5 linked regions of the Macaca fascicularis genome follow. The protein of the gene in region 3 purifies or fractionates together with the protein of the main gene of each other region. This does not show direct contact. Links are inferred from orthologs where the notes say so. Each region holds a gene or a part of one and is shown on either strand. Other genes may lie near its edges. The genes, in order: histone H2B type 1-B, SSRP1, MCM2, TONSL and MCMBP.

Region 1 (4,308 bases), on a different chromosome or scaffold from region 3:
TGCTTCAAAACTTAATATTTTTAAATTTTTTTTTTAATGAGTCAGGCTGTTTTTTTGGGGGGGTGTGTCTCATTCTGTCACTCAGGTTGTCACGGCGCGATCTTGGCTTGCTGCAACCTCTACCTCCCAGGCTCAAGTAATCCTCCCACCTCAGCCTCTCTAGTAACTGGAACTATAGGCATATGCCACAACGCCCAGCTAATTTTTTGTAGAGACTGGATTTCGCCATGTTGCCCAGGCTGGTCTCGAATTGTGAGCTCAAGTGGTCTGCCTGACTAAGTCTCCCAAAGTGCTGAGATTACAGGCATGATGCACCTGGCCCAAAAGTTCATTTTGCAAATGCTTATATTAGCAGGTCTCACTTCTCCGGGGAAAGATCCTAAATATCAGTTTCTTAAACTGCAGCCTCAATTGCTTAGTAATGTTTTGGGGGAGGTGGTCGTTTTATAATTTTAAAAAAAATTATAGATTTTTTAAAACACAAGCGTCTCTTTCACAACGGTAGTTTGCATATACAGTACTAGGATGGGAAGTGCTTCACTTACAGTTGTTCACTGACATTTTGTGTGGCATCCAGATTTTTTTTTTATTTTTGAGACAGGGTCTGTCCTCACCCAGGCTGGAGTGCAGTGGTGTCATCACAGCTTACTGCAACCTCCACCTTCCAGGCTCAAATGATCCTCCCACTTCAACCTCCCCAGTAGTTGGGACTACAGAAATGTGCCACCAGGCCTGGTTAATTTTTAAATTTTTGGTGGAGACAGACTCACTAAGTTGCCCAGACTGGTCTTGAGCTCCTAGGCTCAAGTGATCCTCCCACCTTGGCCTCCCAAAGTGCTGGTATTACAGGCGTGAGCTGCACCACACCCGGCCCAGAACCTCTTTTAAAATATTCTTAAAAATTAAATCTGGGCCGGGCGCGGTGACTCATTCCTACGATCTCAGCACTTTGGGAGGCCAAGGCGGGAGGATCACTTGAGCCCAGGAGTTCACTTGACCAGCCTGGGCAAGATAGTAAGACCCTTTGCCTCCACAAAAAATTAAAAAATTAACTGGGTGTGGTGGCGCATTTCTGTAGTCCCAGGTACTCAAGGGGCTGAAGTTAGAGGATAGCTTGAGCTGGAGAAGTCGAGGCTGCAGTGAGCTATGATGGCACCTGGCCAACAGAGCAAGACCATTTCTCAAAACAGAAACAATAACTGTTTGAGAAACTTTATTTCTTCATCCGAAGACACTGCTGAATGTCACCTACATATAATGCCCGTAAGTTCACTTAAAATACTCCCCTCCGATTCCCCCATCCCCTCCTACTTAGTGTGCAATCAACAGGTTCTTTTCTTCTTCCATTTCTTCCCCCAGCCCCAGACCAAGAATTGGCCCATTAAGTCCTCCTCAACTAGTACCCTTCCTGCCTTTTTCTAGCTATATTGTTTTTGGCGTCCCGGATTTCTTGAAAAATGCTTCCCTCTCCAAGTGGGGCCTTCCTAGTATCTTTGCAGTAGGGCCAGTTGGGGAAAGGCACAAAATTCAAACCCTTTTGTATCTCGCAGAGCTGGAAATCCGAATTTTAAGTGGCCTAGGAAATGGGAATCTGGATTTCTGGGATGCATGAAATATGTAAACTACATAGCTGTTGTCATTGATAAACAATTATAACGCAAAACTACTGCGATTTCATTTTGTGGAACGGGAAATATTCCCTACAAAGGCGCCCGGGAAATCAGACTTCGCTTACTGTTTCCTCAATACTGGAGGAAATCTTTCCTTCTTACTGGAGGTAAGAATTTACAGCATAGGCAAACTGCAGGAGCAAATATCCCTACACGCCCTTTTGTCGCTTAGACTTTTCTGCTCCCCTCCCCCTCATCTCAAGCGGTTAACGGCTAATGACCCCCATAGAAACACTGTACCCTGAATTGCATTACTTGTTTCATTATCCAGAAAGGAAAGTTTCCTGTGCTAGACCAGGGAGGGAGTAGTGACCATATCAAATGAATTACAACTAGTACCCGAAGGCTTACCCAGGGGGAACAAAGAAGTTTGCTAAAGGCAGATGAGAAAGAGCGCCAGCACCCTCCTAACGTTTGTATTTTTAATAGAGACCATGTTGGCCGGGCTAGTCTCGAACTCCTGACGTCAAGTGATCCGCCCGCCTCGGCCTCCCAAAATGCTGGGATTAAAGGCGACAGCCACGGCGCGCTGCCCCAAGTTAACCTTGGCTCTAAAAGTTGCCTTCGCTAACATTCTAGTTGATCCTCTAGAACTGAAGCAGAACAGAGGCAGCACCACCTTAAGAAATTGTGGTTATAGCTCTCTTTGCGACAAAGTAGGTGGCTCTGAAAAGAGCCTTTGGGTTTGGAGGTGCTTACATAAGCACTTACTTGGAGCTAGTGTACTTGGTAACAGCCTTGGTGCCCTCGGACACAGCATGCTTAGCCAGTTCCCCGGGCAGCAGCAGGCGCACAGCCGTCTGGATCTCCCTGGAGGTGATGGTCGAGCGCTTGTTGTAGTGCGCCAGGCGGGAAGCTTCGCCCGCGATGCGCTCGAAGATGTCATTGACAAAGGAGTTCATGATCCCCATGGCCTTGGAGGAGATGCCGGTGTCGGGGTGGACCTGCTTCAGAACCTTGTACACATAGATGGAATAGCTCTCCTTTCGGCTGCGCTTACGCTTCTTACCATCCTTCTTCTGCGCCTTAGTGATGGCCTTCTTAGAGCCCTTTTTAGGGGCAGGAGCAGACTTAGAGGGTTCAGGCATCGCTATTCCTAAAACAAAACAAAAAAGCTACTAACACTCTCCAGCAGAGTAGTAGAGAGAACAGTTCAGAGCCCACGTATTTATAGTCCTGAGATTCAAATGACGGTTTAAGATTCCTCACTTCTGATTGGATAAAAGAAATACAGTTTCACTGAGGGGTGGGGTTTATGCAAATATGGAATTTATGGACTCTTTTTCTATTGGATAAAGCAGGAAACATAATTGACCAATAGGATAACTCTCTATTGCAGCCTTGCAGTTTGTATAAAAGTATTTCTTCAGGCGCCATTCCATCTTGCTTGTTTTTTACAGTTTTCAGAGGTCGCTGTGTTTGGACATGGAAAACGGAAGTAAAGCACAAAGTTGTTCATCGGTACCAGCCTTGCAGTTTCTAGTAGCGCAGGGTCCATCGTCTTTTTCGAAAGGGCAATTATTCTGAGCCTGTCGAAGCCGGCGCGCCGCTGTACTTAGAATACCTGGCCGCCGATATCCTGGAGCTGACACGCAGCGCCATACGTGACAAGACCCATAGCATCCCCCGCCACTTGCAGCTGGCCTTCCGCAACGACGAGCAGCTCAACAAGCTGCTGGGCAAAGTCACTATTACTCAGGGAGGCGTCCTGGCCAATATTCAGGCCGTCCTGTTGCAAAAATAACCGAGAACCACGATAAGGCCAAAAGCAAGTAAAGCCCACTCAAGCCAGAAAACGTACCTTAAACTTGCTACGGCATTTTTCAGAACCGTCCATTGTTTCACAAGAAAGGATGGTAACTTGCTTGTGTTTCGGGTACCTTTTGGTTTTGGTTTGGATTGGTTTGAGACAGAGTTTCGCTCTGTCACCCAAGCTGGAATGCCGCCGCGCGATATCGGCTCACTGCAACCTCCACCCCGCGGCTTCACCAGGTTCTCATGCCTCAGCCTCCTTTGTACCTGGGATTACAGGCGTCTGCTACCACGCCTAGCCAATTTTTGTATTTTTATTCGAGACGGGGTTTTCACCATTTTAGCTAGGGTTGTCTTGAACTCCTGGCCTCAAGTGATCCTCCCATCTTGCCCTCCCAAAATGCTGGGATTACAGGCGTGAGCCACGGCCCCCCTAGCCTAATGGTGTTTAAAAATTAAGTTTCGAGGAAATATCTTCTTTAAGAAACTACATTTTAGAGTATACAAAGTGAAACTAAAGCCAACCAAAATAAGACAGTTTGAGAACAGTCAGGGTGGGAATGTGACTTGGACTTAGAAAACGAAGGATAAGGAAACTGGCTGTTGACCAGTAACAAAATAGCATGGAATTCTCATTCTCTGAATGTAAGTAGTTTCCGACATGAGGCAGTCAACGTTTCTGGTGGTTTAGTGAGTGTTCACCAGCACTGATAACTTTCAAGACTGTCAGGAATGCAGAATTTCAAGTCCCACGCAAACTTACTGAATCGGAATTTACATTAAAAAAATCCGTAGATGCTTTGTTATGTACCTTGTTCTTTGGGACTGGATGAACTAGAATTTTAGACAATTTATCCCTGCAGATAACAAACAAAAAGGACATGAT
Region 2 (3,511 bases), on a different chromosome or scaffold from region 3:
AGACTTAAGGGGAGGAGCTTGTGGCTTGACAAGCCCTTTCCTCACAGGGCAGCTGCTTTCCTTTGACATTGGTGACCAGCCAGTCTTTGAGATACCCCTCAGCAATGTGTCCCAGTGCACCACTGGCAAGAATGAGGTGACACTGGAATTCCACCAAAACGATGACGCAGAGGTGTCTCTCATGGAGGTCCGCTTTTATGTCCCTCCCACCCAGGAGGATGGTGTGGACCCTGTTGAGGTGAGGCGTCCCCTGGTTGCCTTGGCAGCAGATGGTGCTGAGCAGGCATTGGCTGGCCTGGGAGCAGGGCCTGCTGCTTGGTTACCAATGTGTGCTTTTTGCAGGCCTTTGCCCAGAATGTGTTGTCGAAGGCGGATGTAATCCAGGCCACGGGAGATGCCATCTGCATCTTCCGGGAGCTGCAGTGTCTGACTCCTCGAGGGCGTTACGACATTCGGATCTACCCCACCTTTCTGCACCTGCATGGCAAGACCTTTGACTACAAGATCCCCTATACCACAGTGCTGCGTCTGTTTTTGTTACCCCACAAGGACCAGCGACAGATGTTCTTTGTGGTAAGCCGAAACCCCTATGGCCGGATAATCGTGGTTTTTGCGTGTTAAGTAGACGGACCTCACTGGTGTGCAGAATTCTATGTTAGTGAATCGCAAGTTGTTGTAGAGTATCAATTGGTGCTCTTCCTTACTAGATCAGCCTGGACCCCCCAATCAAGCAAGGCCAAACTCGCTACCACTTCCTGATCCTCCTCTTCTCCAAGGACGAGGACATTTCGTTGACTCTGAACATGAACGAGTGAGTGTCTCCCTGGACTCGTTTCCTGCCACTGTCCAGGCCGGAGACAGGTGTGCCATTAGAAGGCAGTAGTGTTGTGACCTCACCTTGCTGTCTTTGTAGGGAAGAAGTGGAGAAGCGCTTCGAGGGTCGTCTCACCAAGAACATGTCAGGATCCCTCTATGAGATGGTCAGCCGGGTCATGAAAGCGCTGGTGAACCGCAAGATCACAGTGCCAGGCAACTTCCAAGGGTGAGCGTGTGGGCCTGGGATCCTGCCCTGCCTGGGTATGGGAAATGCTGTGTCTCCTTGGTAAACCCCTCCTGAGATGGGATTGCAGCCTGTTACAGGTCTGGATGGGACCTTGTGTCACAACAGGTGTCAGCGCCTCTGTCAGAACAGCTCAGTGAGGTTTACTTAGTCGAGGACATGAGCACACATGTCGCTGCTGCTAGATGTGCCCTTTGCTTCTGCTGAGGTTGGCACTAACCAGGCTCCCTGCACCCTCTGTCAGGCACTCAGGGGCCCAGTGCATTACCTGTTCCTACAAGGCGAGCTCAGGACTGCTCTACCCGCTGGAGCGGGGCTTCATCTACGTCCACAAGCCACCTGTACACATCCGCTTCGACGAGATCTCCTTTGTCAACTTTGCTCGTGGTACCACTACAACTCGTTCCTTTGACTTTGAAATTGAGACCAAGCAGGGCACTCAGTATACCTTCAGCAGCATTGAGAGGTGAGAACCTCCACCCGTCACTTTCTGGGCATCCTGGTCCTGAGCCAGCTTTGTCCAGGAAACCCAGCATGGCCTGCGGCACTCTCCAACCCTAGAGCAGAATTTTTCTTCTGCTACATCAGGATTTGGTCATTTTCCCTGGAGTGCTCAGACTTTAGAAATCTCTCCATTGCTTTCTTTCTGGTCATTTAAAAAAAACAACGAAAAACTTTTTCTGTATTCTGAAAGCTATGTCTTCACTACTGACCTTTTTTCTCCTCCACTCCCCACAATGGAAATGCTATTTCTTTCCTGGAATGAGTTTTGTGCCTGAGAACATAGCAGCTAATGCTTATTTAGTGCTCACTGTGAGCTAAATGTTTTATAAGCATTTTCACGTGTAATCCTCATATCAACCTTGTGAAGTATGAAGACAGATGACCACACCCCCTGCCCCACACTTACTCCGCCCTGAGCTTATTTGGTAAACAGATGCGCACCCCTCCCTGCCTTTTCTTTCCCAGAGCTCTTCACAGCCATGCAGGTTCCTCTTTCAGGACTAATGTCAGGCTCTGGCTCTGCCTTACTGCTGTCCTCTGGGGGTCTCTAAGCTGTTGGGTTGGGTGGCATGGTCAGGAACTCCAGGCTCCACAGTCTACCCCAGCTCATGGAATCAGAACGTTGTTTAGTCCGCCCCTGTGTCAGCACTACCTCTCTGGTAACATGGTGCATGTCCCCTCACAGGGAGGAGTATGGGAAACTGTTTGATTTTGTCAATGCGAAAAAACTCAACATCAAAAACCGAGGATTGAAAGAGGTACTTCTGTGTGGGGAGCATGAGACCCTCTCCTGGTCTTTCTGTAGGGGAGAAAGGGGTGGAGATTTTTTCCGGCTTCTTTTTCACTCTTTCTTCTCTTCTTACCCTTATAGAAAAAAGAGGTGCGTGTGACCCTTTCCCCCTCCTGGTGCAGGTTTCCTCTGCATGACCTTAGACCAGTCTATGCAGCCCCTCAGGAGCCCCCAGTGGGGCTGGGAGAGGGAGGGGCTTGGGGCTTGGACTAACCCAGTTGGCAGGAAGTACTTGGGCGTAGGCCCTGCACGTTGGCTGTGTGTGGACAATCCAGCCCCAGGTCCTCTGGGAGCTGCTGCTCTGACTTGACAGGCATGGGGGTGTGCTTTTGAGTGTGCAGGGATTCTGGCTCGAGGGTGAGTTGGCCCCACTGTGAACTCTTCCCTGGCTAGGGCATGAACCCAAGCTACGACGAATATGCCGACTCTGATGAGGACCAGCATGATGCCTACTTGGAGAGGATGAAGGAGGAAGGCAAGATCCGGGAGGAGAATGCCAATGACAGCAGCGATGACTCGGGAGAAGAAACCGGTGGGTTAGCCTCCGTGCTGAGCACGAGGATGGTCAGATGTTCCTTGCTGTGGCCCGGGCTGGACTCACCCTTAGGCCAGAGCTGGGTGCCTGGGTGAGGGGGTGGGGATTTCCATTGGGGCAGAAGCTGATGCGTCCTGTGCCCTTTTTCAGATGAGTCATTCAACCCAGGTGAAGAGGAGGAAGATGTGGCAGAGGAGTGAGTTTTGGTGGTACCTTGTGGGGATAAGATGGTGACCCATAAGCTTAAAGGACCAGAAGATTTCTGGACATTTCTCATGTCCCAGCATTAGCTACTGACCCGGAATGGGAGAGTGACCTCCAATGAGGTGATACACAAAATGTTTTGGAAATTGTCAAGGGCTTCGTAAGTGCAAGGCACATTTTGAAGTCAGAAAAGTATAGTGGGGTCTATGGCCATACCACCCTGAATATGCCAGTTGGGGCTGGTTCGTAGTTGGATGAGGAGAGAATGGGAATGAGAGCTGGTACTTGTCACTTATTTCCTGGAGGTTGTCGATTAAGTCATTGAATCTCAATTTCCTCATCGGTAGAAATGCAGTAGTACCGACTTTTTATTAGCAGTGTCAGAAATGTGACTCACTCTCACTTTAAAAGGAAATAT
Region 3 (4,221 bases):
TTGGTCTTCCTGTGCGTTCCCATCTCAGCTATCATTCCCCTAGCTAAACCAGGATCCTGGTGTCATCCTGCATGCCTCTTTTGCTGTACTCAATCACCAACACCAATAGACCCCACCTCCTGGCTGGGCACGGTGGCTCACGCCTGTAATCCCAGCACTTTGGGAGGCCAAGGCAGGCAGATCCACTTGTCAGGAGTTGGAGATCAGCCTAGCTAACAATGGTGAATTCCCATCTCTACCAAAAATACAAAAATTAACCGGGCATTATGGCGTGCATCTGTAATCCCAGCTACTCAGGAGGCTAAGGCATGAGAATCACTTTGGGAGGTGGAGGTTGCAGTGAGCTGAGATTGCGCCACTGCACTCCAGCCTGGGTGACAGAGTAAGACTCTGTCTCAAAAAGAAAAAAAAAAAAAAGAAAGAAAAAGAAAAAGAAAAAAGATCCCACCTCCTAAACATCTTGTATTTCCAGTTCTCTCCATCACTCCTGCCCCTACCCTGGGTCCCATGCAGAGATGCTTATTCACTGCACAAAGTGCCTGGCTAAGAGGGCTGCGATTCAGCCCTGCCTCTGCTCACTAAGGCTGCCTGTAACTAGACAAGAACCACAACAACCTCCTCATTTGCTGCCTTCAACCTTGTTCAATCCACTTCCACCTGGTAGCAGCCGTAGGGATTCTAAAACACACACCGGTTCACGTCTCACCCTGCTCAAAATGCTTTCATGGTCTTCCATTGCCTTCAGAATACAGAATAGTCAAACTCTCTAGAAAAACATCTAACTCTTTTTTGATCCGGATTTTCTCTCCCTCAAGTCTTGTCCATTGCCCGGCATCATAAGCTCCTAGCCTTAGTTCTTAGGCAGGGGCTTGCACATCCGGGCCGTGCCATGCCCTCTGCGGCTTTGCACATGGCATCCTTCTATCTGTAACATTCTCCCTGCGTCTTCGCTCCCCTGGGCAAGGATAACTCCTACTAAAGCCTCAGATGTGACCTACAAAATCCCAGAGTTGTCCAGCTACTTGAAGCATTGAGCCTTTGAGCTTTGGGAGAAGTTAAAACATTCTGCTCCTAAGACAGTAAGAAGGCGTCGGAAAACCAGGCTCTGGACCTCTGTTGCCTTGTCAGTAAAATGGCCCTGGTGTGACCGAGGTCACGTAGCCAGCAAGTGTCGTCGGGGGCCCTGGAACCACAGCTCCTACCTCCACCCCGGCTCCCACTCCAGCTCAGGAGAGCGCACGCGCACAGCGCCCCGCCGCCCACCCTCAGGCTCTGGGCGGGACCTCCGGGCGGCGTGGGCGGGACCCGACTCTTTGGCCCACCCCTCCGTGTCCCCGCTGCTCGCCAGTGGACGCCGACGTCATGACGTCGCGTTCCGTAGGGCTCTTACCCGGCTTTGGTGGGTCACGTGAGCTACTTTTCGCGCGAAACCTGGTTGTTGCTGGAGTGGCTGAGAGGATCGTGGTACTGCGATGGCGGTGAGCGCGCTGGCGCGGGGCGGGCGGGATGGTGCGGGCGCCGGGGTCATGGGTGCGGAGGCTGCGCGCTTCCCGTACTCTTGCCCCGGCCCGGGTCGGCGCTCTGGGTGAGGTGGGGCCTCAGGCTCTGGGGCGCAGCTGCTTTCTCGCCTGCACCCCGCGTGACGCTAGGCCACCTGGCGACTCGTCTCCCCACCACTGACCTGGGGCCCTGGGTTCCCTAAGCCGCGCCCGACCCGCTCAACCCGTGTCCTTTATTCACCGCACACGTGCTTATTGAGCGCCATCTGTATGTCTGGCGCTGAGTGTACAAAAGACAGGCCCCCATCTCACTGCACTTCTTAAAACTTTTTTTTTTTTTCAATTTCCCAATGATCCTTGTTCTGAATGCTACATTTACTTTCGTATTACTTTCTTGTCCCTTTGTCTTGTGTACTGTCTGTTTCACATCTGAGTTCCAGACCTCTTGTTTTGGTGGCTCTTCTATGCCATCTCTATCACAATACCTTGCACACTGTGTGTGCTGAAATAGCTCTAATGCTTAAGGGGGAGATAGTAGACAATAAACAGGTAAATAGGCAAATGACATAACCTCAGTGGTTTTTCATGGAGAAAGCACGGTGATGTGGGTGACCCGCTATTTGAGCTGCCTCCTATTTGTTTGGAAGCCACTGGCTCGGATTGCCCAGCAGAGAGCATTCCAGCTGAGAGAACAGCAAGCGCAAAGATCTGGAGGCTGGAAGGGGATTGGTGTGTTGGAGGACAAGAGTCACAGGTGGAGAGAGAGGAGGGAAGAACCCTGATAGTAAAAAGGAAGCTGTATCATGCCTCACCAGCTTCTTAGGTTTCTGACAGCGGCACTTTCTCTTGCAGGAATCATCGGAGTCCTTCACCATGGCATCCAGCCCGGCCCAGCGTAGGCGAGGCAATGATCCTATCACCTCCAGCCCTGGCCGAAGCTCCCGGCGTACTGATGCCCTGACCTCCAGCCCTGGCCGTGACCTTCCACCCTTTGAGGATGAGTCTGAGGGGCTCCTAGGCACAGAGGGGCCCCTGGAAGAAGAAGAGGATGGAGAGGAGCTCATTGGAGATGGCATGGAAAGGTAATTTCAATCAATGCCCTGGACTCAGCAGACAATTTTGCAGAGAGCCCATTGTGTGTCTGGTGGCCTGGCTTTGGGAGCTGGGAACAAATGAATCTGATGGCATTCTTGCCTTTGAGCACAGGTTGATCCAGGGTTCTGGGGAGACAGGTTTACAGAGCCGTGACATAGGTTTCTTTAACTTACTGTATGTAACTTGGAAAGACTAGACCCTAAGGGTTGGATAAGCCTAACTCCATAAGCACCCCAGGTAATGCAGAGCTCTCTAATCTGGAGGACTGCAACTCAAAAAGACAGGAAGCAGGAAGCCCAGTGTTTCTTGGTAACTTTTCAAAGGAAAGGTGCATGGGGGAGGAGGGATCTGATAAATAAAGTTTTAGAGTCAATCAGCAACCGTTTATTATACGTAATGTGCACCATGCCCTTTGTTAGGAATGGTCTTGTTTATTAGTAAACATGTGTTGGCCGGGCATGGTGGCTCACACCTGTAATCCCAGCACTTTGGGAGGCCGAGGTCGGCGGATCACCTGAAGTCAGGAGTTTGAAACCAGCCTGGTCAACATGGTGAAACCCCGTCTCTACTAAAAATACAAAAAATTAGCCAGGCGTGGTGGTGCATGCCTGTAGTCCCAGCTATTCAGGAGGCTGAGGCAGGAGAATCGCTTGAACCCAGGAGGCGTAGGTTGCCGAGAGCCGAGATCATGCCACTGCACTCCAGCTTGGGCGACAAGAGTGAAACTCAATCTCAAAAATAAATAAATAAATACATAAATAGGTTATCAAGACTTAATGCTAGGAGAGTGGAGTAAGCTCTGCGCATGAGCAAGGCTAGATTTCTACTCCTGCCTTACTCTGCGTTTCCAGCTGGGATCTGGTAGATATGTCAGTAGCGGAGTTGTGTGAATGCCCAGGAGCCTCGTGGAGATGCTCCTTTTGTGCCTTTCCAGCCTTAGCGTGTGTGAGAGTACCGTGCAGGGCGTCCTGCCATCCCTAGGATGTCAGACAGCTGAGGGGCTTTCAAGGGCACTCCAGACTGGATGGATCTTTGCTGTTACCAGTACCACCCCCAACGATGAGACTGCACATGCTGTAGACTGTAGAAGGAATGAGGAGTCTTTGGATAAATCCACCCTGGACTTGGGGTCAGGGCATGGGGCCTGGACGGCTTCCCCATTCTGCTCAGTGGAGTTGTTCAGGCCGGATGCTCCTCCTCCACTGTGTCCTCTCCCTGTCTTGACCCTTTCTCTTTGCTTCTCTTTTCCTTCAGAGAGTGAGAGGCCCTTGGCAGGGGGCTTCTGGGTAGAGGTAGCTGAGGGATAGCTGAGCCCAATTACATTTGTTTTTGTGGTTTTTCAAAAAAATTTTTATTGGGCTATAGTTTTTTAGAGTTTGCCCCTTGCAAAAATACAATTCAATGCAAATTCAGTGTAAATTTCCTGAATTATGCAGGCTTCACCACAATCCAGTGTAAGAACAGGGCCATTGTCCCATTGATGTCCCTCCTGCCTGCTTATAGTTCATTCTCAGTTCTTACCCAACCCACGGGCAACTGAGAATCCACTTACTGTCTCTAGATTTTCCAATCTGGTAATTTCATATAAATTGAATCATATTATATATGCCCTTTTGTGATGAGCTTT
Region 4 (4,238 bases), on a different chromosome or scaffold from region 3:
AGCCCAACTGGTCTCCTGGCCGCCCTTTCAGTGCCCCTGACACACTGTGTTGAGCTCAGAGAAAAACGGGGGTTTTCTCCTGTCAGGAACTAGGGCACCTGTCCCTCTTGCGGAAGCTGCTGCCTCCAAGGACAGGTGCTCATGCCTCCTCTGTGAGGGAGGGAGCTCCGTACACACCTGGCAGGACTCCACGCCCCCCTGGGCTCGCCCCTGCACACAACTCCCGGGGCCCCACCCCGGCCCCAGGCTCACCATGCGGGAGGTTCACCCCCCTCACCCCCCCCCCACCCCACACCCCCGGGGCCCCACCTCAGCCCCAGGCTCACCATGCTGGAGGTTCTGACAGACGGCTGCTCTCTGCACAGGCTTCTGGGAGCCCAGCCTGTAGGCCTTCTTCAGGGCTCGCTTGGCAGCCAGAAAGTCTCCCAGGTCTTGGAGGACCTGGAGAGCAAAGGACAGCACGGTTTTTGCAAAATCCCCAAGGCCCAAGTCTCCAGGAGCCTGAGCTCGGAACCACACACAGCGGGTACCTGTGCGATGGCCACGCAGCACTCGCTCTCCATGAACCGCTTCCTCATGGTGTGCGCACACTCCCGGGCACCCTCCAAGCAGCGCATAGCCTGGGAGTGCTGGCCCGCGCGCCAGTGGACGGTGCCCAGGTTGTAGCGGGCGCGGAACAGGTCCTCGTAAAGGTGGTTCTGCCTGCAGAGGGGTGATGGCCTGAGCACCTACGAGCTCCTGAGCACCCAGGAGCGTCCCACCGGTGATAGCTGCTGATGCCACACAGGCCCCAGCCCTGCCATGCTATGGTCTCAGGGCCCTAACCATGCCTGGTCTTCGCCCAGTGTGAGGCACAGGTGTGAGAGGTGGGGGATGAGGCCCAGCCAGGGTGCTCTCTCAGGAGGACCCTGGGAGAAATACTCCCCTAACTACTTCCTCCAGGAACAAGGGACTCCACTCTCTCCTGGGGTGGGGTGGGGCCTTACTCCGCAAGGAAGATGCTCTTCCTGAAGTAATCGTTGCACAGGGCTGTCTGCTGCAGGCTCTCAAAGGTAAGACCCAGGTTGAGGTAGAGGCGGGTCCTCATCTCATTCAGCTCTCCCTGAGCCAGTGTCCCTGGAAGATGCCCCCCACTCAGCCACTTTCTCCCCACATGGGGTTTCCAGCTTTGGGCCCCATTTGGGGCCTGTGCAGTGCCTCTCCTACCCTCTCCCTCCTCCCGATGTTGGGGCAAGGGTCCTGCTGCAGACAGAGCACAGAGTGGATAAAGAGCCGAGGATCTCCAGGGAAAAGGTTGCGGAGGGCATGCACCCCTCACACAAGAGCCCTGCAAAGGGAGGGCCCCAGAAGACGAGATCGCCCAAGGAGGCTGCGGGGGTGCTGGGCTGCAGCCTCTTCAGCCTGCAGTTCAGGAGGCAGAAAACGAGAAGGGGCCTGCCCACCCTCCAGCTCCTCATCCACAATAGCCAAGCTCTTCTCAAAGGCAGCCTGTGCCTGCAGCAGAGCATCCCTCGACTGGCAGTGGTCATAGATGTCCAGGTGGGTGCGGCCGATGGTGGCCCAGGCCCTCTGCAGCTCCGTGTGGTTGCGCAGGGAATGTGCTAGCTCCAGGTAGTGGTGCTGGTGCTGAGTGTGGAAGGAAGTCACTGCTGTGAGCTGACCCCGCCTCAAGCAAACCAGCGCTGCCAGATTCCCAGAGACCCTGTTCTTGCTAAGGAAAGACTCCTGCTCCCCTTAACCCCCACAGAGCAGGCCAAGGTCGGCCACATGCCCCTCCTCTGCATGCCAAGGCCTCTCTGTGGTGACAGTGGCTTCACGCTGTATGCAGCCAACGCTGTCACGTGGGGAGGGGCGGCTGGGGATTGGTGGGGTGGGGGTTTGCAGTCCTGCCTCCAGCAGCCAGGGTCAGGGAGAGCTTTCGGGCTGGGGCCTGACCACCCCCAACACAAACACAGCTAAAATAACATTCATTAATGGTTTCTGGTGCCAGGAAACCTACTCCTGCCCCAGTCCCAGGAAAGGCTGGGGGGTCCCCACTGGAGGACTGGGCCGGCGCGGTGAAGTTAAGGCTGCGTCAGGCCAGGTGTCCCTTCCAGCCCGAGGCTCCTGACGGTGAAGACCGGGCCTCCCTCCTCAGAAAAGGGCTCCAAACAGAGGCCGACCGGGCTGGGCGAGGCCAGTGAGGGCGCCCGCACCTGCAAGGCAGTCGGGTAGTCCTCCATCTCGGCCAGGCGCTCTCCGATCTTGCGGTGGGCCACGGCACAGCCCAGGGGGTCGTCAGCGCTCTCCCGGAGCCGCAGCTCCTGCCAGTGCTGCTCCAGGGCTTCGGCGTAGCGGCCTAGGCGGGGACACAGCACGGCCTGGCAGGCGTCGCGGGTGCGAGGGCGGACCTGGGGCGGCGTCTGCGGGAAGAGCCCGTCGACCCCCGGCCCCCGACCCCGGCGCGGGCCCCAGCCCCCAGCCCCCAGCCCCCGGCCGTGCACCCCGCTTCCTGGTCCCAGCGCTCACCATGGCCGGCCAGGAGCTCCCCCAGCTGGTGGCACAGCGCTGCCTCCTCGCGCCGCTGCCCGGCCCTCTGCGCCTTGGCCTTCGCCTTGCTCAGCTCTGTCGGAGGAAGAGGAGAGCTGAGCCTCCGCGGCGGGATTCGGGGCCGGGGCCGAGTCCCAGACCCTCCCTAGCCTCCGTGCCCCCGGCGCAAGGGGCCCCCGAGGGACTCACGGCGAAGCTCGCGATCCAGGCTCATGCTCGGGTCGCCGCGGGATCTGGACTTCCCGCGCTGCGCCGCGGCCCCGCCCCTCGCCGCCGACACGCAGGCCCCGCCCCTCGACGGCGGCGGTGGGCGCGGGGCATGCTGGGAAGTACGGTCCGCCCGCGACATCCTCGAAGTTCTAGTGTGGGAGGAGCTGGGGCGGGGACGCGGCGACAACTAGGGCGTCGACCCGAGGAGTTATCTTCCCGGACGCCGAGGTTGGCCCGCGCGTGGAGCCCTCTGCCCTGCCCGGGGAGTGCCTGATGGGGACCCCGTTCCTCCTCGCAGGAGGCGGGGACACGGGAGGCCGGGGTCGCAGCGCGCCCTGGGTGGGCTCTTCTGAACTGCAGCCCGCGTGCCGCCCGCGCCTCTCAAGGTGGACGAGCTGTGCCGCCGCCCCAGTTCCTCCTGAAATTCACACACAACCTGCTCACACGCGCAACTGTGAAAAACGCACGTAGGGTCCAGATAGAAGACTGACGATAAGTTCACGAGCATTTGGCTGTGGGGACGGAATAAGGTGCGCTCCTCCTCCACAGAACGCAGTGGGTCACATTTGGGGACTCGGCCCCAAGGAATGTTCTGGTAGGGGAATGTGCTTTCCGTAGTAAACAAGTACCGTTTCAGCAACGTATATGTCAGCTGTATTCTCGGAAGAGTCAGTGAACCTGCGCTTAAGCTGCAGAAGTAGCCCGGGCGCACTGGCCCGCACTGTAATCCAGGCGCCTTGGGAGGTGCAGTCAGGAGGATCGCTTGAGCCTAGCAGTTCGAGACCAGCCTGGGCAACATAGTGAGACCCCCATCTTTTTGTGTGTGTGCGTGTTTGTGTGTGAGTCTCGCTGTGTCGCCCAGGCTGGCGTGCAATGGTGCGATATCAGCTCACCACAACCTCCTCCTCCTGAGTTCAAGCGATTCTCCTGCCTCAGCCTTCCAAGTAGCTGGGACTACAGGCATGTGCCAGCATGCCCGGCTAATTTTTGCATTTTTAGTAGAAACGGGGTTTCACCATGCTGGCCAGGCTGGTTTCAAACTCCTGACCTCGTGATCCGCCTACCTCGGCCTCCCAAAGTGCTGGTATTATAGGCATAAGCCAGCACGTCCGGCCTGATACCCCATTTTTATTTAAAAAAAAGAAAGGAGGGAGGGAGGAAAAGAAAGAGGAAGAGAGGGCCAGGCGCACTCTTCCTGGGCTCACGCCTGTAATCCCAACACTTTGGGAGGCCAAGGCGGGCGGATCACGAGGTCAGAAGATCGAGACCATCGTGGCTAACACGGTGAAACCCTGTCTCTACAAAAAATACAAAAAATTAGCCGGGCATGGTGGCGGGTGCCTGTAGTCCCAGCCACTCGGGAGGCTGAGGCAGGAGAATGGTGTGAACCTGGGAGGCGGAGCTTGCAGTGAGCCGAGATCGCACCACTGCACTCCACCCTGGGCGGCAGAGTAAGACTCCATCTCAAAAAAAAGGAAGAGAGAGAGAAAACGACTGCA
Region 5 (3,511 bases), on a different chromosome or scaffold from region 3:
ACCTGATAGTGCAACTTAATCTTAAATGAATCAGAAAAATATAAGAGATGGAGCAGATGATAAGCAAATGGGGCAAGGATACAAGTGTTCTTTCCAACTTTTTTGAATCTAGAATTATTCCCAAATGAAGTTATAAACAAAAAAATTTCAGCTCTTTATTTCAGGATAGTTGTAAAGATAAACAAAAAACTATATAAAATGTATTAAAAGAACAGAGTGCTTTACAAGCAGTGGCTCAAATGCTGCTGAATCTAGGTGGCCTTGCATCACATTCTGTAGGTGTCCCCAGCTACACTGTGGGTGCCAGAGAGCCTGCAGGAGGTCAGCATCCTCCTGATTTGTAACTGTCCCTCCCCCCGCTCAGTACAGCTTCTTGAATGTGTCTTGTGTAGTACTTCAGACACACTGAAGTGTAAAATTCATCCTATCTAAAATTCATTCTATCGTAGAAGCAAATTTTAGTTTGTTTTCTGCTGGCTAAACTATTGTGTGACTCACCTGATCATAGTCTCTTATTATTTATTGCATATACATTAGCTTTGAAAAGTATATTTCTCTTTCAGCACAAAATGGAGTTAATCCTGACTGGGAGAAGAAAGTAATTGAATATTTTAAGGAAAAGCTGAAGGAAAATAATGCTCCTAAGTGGGTAAGCTTATTGCTATTTTCGAGGGAGAAGGTTGGACAGACTACAAAGTTTCTCTTAGTAGAGTAACTAAGTAACCCCCATGTAATTTAAAAATATGTAAATTAATGTGTACTTCTGCTTCAAGTACATTTGTATTAAAAGATTTTGGTCTTTTGCTAATTAAGTTTAAGCAAATAAATACTTATACATTATGCCTCTAGGTGGCAGTAACTGACTGTGTTACTTCCTGAGACACATCTTTAGTTCCAAGAGTCAGTTAGTTACCTTTGTTTTATTACCTTTATTTTAAAAGAATTGGCATGTGCTAGTTTTAAGAGAAGAGCTCAACAAAGTAAATGCCTTTTTGATCATTGAAAAGTGTTCTGAATTAAAAGCATTTTTTAGCATTCTTTTACATTATGGTCAAATGTTATCTAAAACTTGGAAGAAATGGAAGAGAACTTGGGTTCCAGCAATTATGTTGACCATTGAGATCATTTGGCTCCCTGACGAGGCATGGGGGGTGTGTGTGTGTGTGTGTTTAACAATTTTGAGTCTGGACATAAAGTTTGTGTATATATGCTTAATGTTGTATAGACAGGATATTTAGTTGACTTAACTTGATTATTTTCCTTTAAGGTACCATCACTGAACGAAGTTCCCCTTCATTATTTGAAACCTAATAGTTTTGTGAAATTTCGTTGCATGATTCAGGATATGTTTGACCCTGAGTTTTACATGGGAGTTTATGAAACGGTTAACCAAAACACAAAAGCACATGTAAGTATTGCTGTTTTCATGAATTTGTGGTATTAATTTTGTCCTTGTACTGTTTGTGGTAGTTTTGGTTCTGATATATTGATATAATTCTGTTTTTCTATGTTTTGGGTCATAGGTTCTTCATTTTGGAAAATATAGAGATGTAGCAGAGTGTGGGGTATGTATCTTTAATATATATAAAACATTTTTAGTAAGAATTTTTTCCTAAACAGAGAATTTGTTTGTTTAGCTAATCTTAGATTTATTTATCTTGAGTATAAGTTACAAGAAATCACGTGAAATGTTTTCCTTGTTTGACTTTATTTAGGAGTTTGATGTGACTGTTTTTAATCCTCCAGAGATCTTTTAGAAGGAGAAGTACTGTTAATGCCAAAATTAATTCCTCTCTCCAATATCTGTATATAATATATGTAAAACAAAGTACCCTAGGGTGCAAAATTAAGTCGTTTTTAATTCCTTCAAAGACAAAGCCAGTGGTAATTCCACTGTTTCTTTCATAGAAAACTGTCAGAATCAGCCTATAATACAGAAATCTGATGAAATACTCATTCCTAGGTAGCTCCAAGATGAGATTCAAAAGTCATATATTATTCCCTAGGAAAGGCATATTCTCTTTCATATATACTTAGAAAACTCTAAGAAGTGGAAAGGACCCAAGAGACATCAAGTTTGAGCCTAATACATACAAGCAAGGATTTTTTGTTTGCTTTTCTCTCTAGGCCCAAAGTACCTTTTTCCTAGAATGAGTCTTTTATTTATGACTCTTGAGCAACATATGTACCAACTCTCTATTAGCCTTTGGTAGTGTCACACATGCACAGCCTCATTTATTTTATTGACCCATTTCCAGATTCTGGGATTACTGAGTTACATTAATACTCAGCTTTTTCTAGTATACAGTAATGTAATATGTTAGCCTAATGTGTTAGGGCTCCTTAAATGAGGAATACCGTAATCATTAATGTAGTTGATCCATTAAGCTGGGCACAGTATTTGTTTTATGGAAACACTCTAAAAGAAAAACAGACCTGAAGTTCATCATGTGTAAGATTACATAAATCTGTCTTTCAAATGAGTTCTTTACTCTAATTGTCAGAAGTTACATTTTTGTTTAATATAATCTTTGCAGTAACCTTCCAAATTAGGGCAGTTTTTCTGTCCAGATCTGCCTACTGAACTAGAATATTTAATTAGCAACAACTGTTGTGAATTAACAGACTGATATTGGGGTTTGATAAATCAGTTTCCTAAGGTTTGGGTAAGCCAAGAGTTAGACTCCAAGAATATAAAAAGGCCTAGATAACCTCATAAAAGTAAGGTTCTAGATCCACAAAGCAGAGAACTAGACCCAGATTATAAGTCACTCCACAGAGGTCCCATTTTTCTGGATTTGAGGGAGGAAGTGTTTGATGACTGTATTTGAAGTGATTTTATATCAGTTTTCTTTGAAAAAGTGATAGTTTGGAATTAGTTACTTGTTAACTCTGTAAAATATTTGTTGTGGTGCTATGTGAAAATGTGGTTGCTAATTTTAAAATAAATTTTGTGATGTTTTTAAATAAATTTTTTAAAATACTTTTTTATGTATATCACAGCCTCAACAAGAACTTGATTTAAACTCTCCACGAAATACCACTTTGGAAAGACAGACTTTCTATTGTGTTCCGGTGCCTGGGGAATCTACGTGGGTAAAAGAAATATCCTTTATCTGAACTTTCTTATTGTGTTGATGGTTTCTAAAACCTTAACCTTTAATTATTCATCCTTTGCAAAGCTTGGCTTTATTTCAATAAAATGTGTTTCATTTGTTCTAATTGAGAAAACCCATAAAACAGGCTAAGTATTTGTCACCGAGGAATGCTAAAATTACAGTACATTTCTATAGTGAAATACTGTTAAAAAGATTGAGGTAATTTTTTTTTTTTTTTTTTGAGATAGGGACTTACTGTCACCCAGGCTGGAGTGCAGTGGCACAAACATGGCTCACTGCTGCTTCAACCTCCTGGGTTCAAGCAATCCTCCTGCCTTAGCCTCCCAAGTAGCTGGGACCACAAGCGTGTGCCACCATCCCTGGCGAATTTTTTGATTTCTTTTAGAAAGAGG

Evidence for each region.
Region 1: the proteins of MCM2 (region 3) and histone H2B type 1-B purify together in Homo sapiens (affinity purification with mass spectrometry; 3 studies listed by BioGRID). This does not show direct contact. The link is inferred for Macaca fascicularis from reciprocal best matches to the Homo sapiens genes MCM2 and H2BC3.
Region 2: the proteins of MCM2 (region 3) and SSRP1 purify together in Homo sapiens (affinity purification with mass spectrometry; 6 studies listed by BioGRID and IntAct, counting the BioPlex papers as one, with this or other methods). This does not show direct contact. The link is inferred for Macaca fascicularis from reciprocal best matches to the Homo sapiens genes MCM2 and SSRP1.
Region 4: the proteins of MCM2 (region 3) and TONSL purify together in Homo sapiens (affinity purification with mass spectrometry; 4 studies listed by BioGRID and IntAct, with this or other methods). This does not show direct contact. The link is inferred for Macaca fascicularis from reciprocal best matches to the Homo sapiens genes MCM2 and TONSL.
Region 5: the proteins of MCM2 (region 3) and MCMBP purify together in Homo sapiens (co-immunoprecipitation; 6 studies listed by BioGRID and IntAct, with this or other methods). This does not show direct contact. The link is inferred for Macaca fascicularis from reciprocal best matches to the Homo sapiens genes MCM2 and MCMBP.

Annotation. Positions count from the first base shown.
Region 1 is NC_088378.1:146,884,610-146,888,917, reverse strand, and holds the start of histone H2B type 1-B, read right to left. Parts: upstream 2,812-4,308; 5' UTR 2,759-2,811; coding exon 2,382-2,758; intron 1-2,381. UniProt on the Homo sapiens protein: Core component of nucleosome. Nucleosomes wrap and compact DNA into chromatin, limiting DNA accessibility to the cellular machineries which require DNA as a template.
Region 2 is NC_088388.1:16,285,507-16,289,017, forward strand, and holds part of SSRP1 (FACT complex subunit SSRP1), read left to right. Parts: intron 1-47; coding exon 48-238; intron 239-342; coding exon 343-573; intron 574-707; coding exon 708-811; intron 812-913; coding exon 914-1,042; intron 1,043-1,304; coding exon 1,305-1,526; intron 1,527-2,249; coding exon 2,250-2,322; intron 2,323-2,747; coding exon 2,748-2,886; intron 2,887-3,039; coding exon 3,040-3,085; intron 3,086-3,511. UniProt on the Homo sapiens protein: Component of the FACT complex, a general chromatin factor that acts to reorganize nucleosomes. The FACT complex is involved in multiple processes that require DNA as a template such as mRNA elongation, DNA replication and DNA repair.
Region 3 is NC_088376.1:155,842,209-155,846,429, reverse strand, and holds the start of MCM2 (DNA replication licensing factor MCM2), read left to right. Parts: upstream 1-1,415; 5' UTR 1,416-1,472; coding exon 1,473-1,478; intron 1,479-2,351; coding exon 2,352-2,581; intron 2,582-4,221. UniProt on the Homo sapiens protein: Acts as a component of the MCM2-7 complex (MCM complex) which is the replicative helicase essential for 'once per cell cycle' DNA replication initiation and elongation in eukaryotic cells.
Region 4 is NC_088382.1:154,152,300-154,156,537, forward strand, and holds the start of TONSL (tonsoku-like protein), read right to left. Parts: upstream 2,802-4,238; 5' UTR 2,744-2,801; coding exon 2,719-2,743; intron 2,605-2,718; coding exon 2,509-2,604; intron 2,403-2,508; coding exon of another isoform or gene 2,339-2,402; coding exon 2,196-2,338; intron 1,627-2,195; coding exon 1,443-1,626; intron 1,117-1,442; coding exon 987-1,116; intron 703-986; coding exon 531-702; intron 442-530; coding exon 327-441; intron 1-326. UniProt on the Homo sapiens protein: Component of the MMS22L-TONSL complex, a complex that promotes homologous recombination-mediated repair of double-strand breaks (DSBs) at stalled or collapsed replication forks.
Region 5 is NC_088383.1:128,875,281-128,878,791, reverse strand, and holds part of MCMBP (mini-chromosome maintenance complex-binding protein), read left to right. Parts: intron 1-563; coding exon 564-649; intron 650-1,267; coding exon 1,268-1,408; intron 1,409-1,523; coding exon 1,524-1,565; intron 1,566-3,003; coding exon 3,004-3,105; intron 3,106-3,511. UniProt on the Homo sapiens protein: Associated component of the MCM complex that acts as a regulator of DNA replication.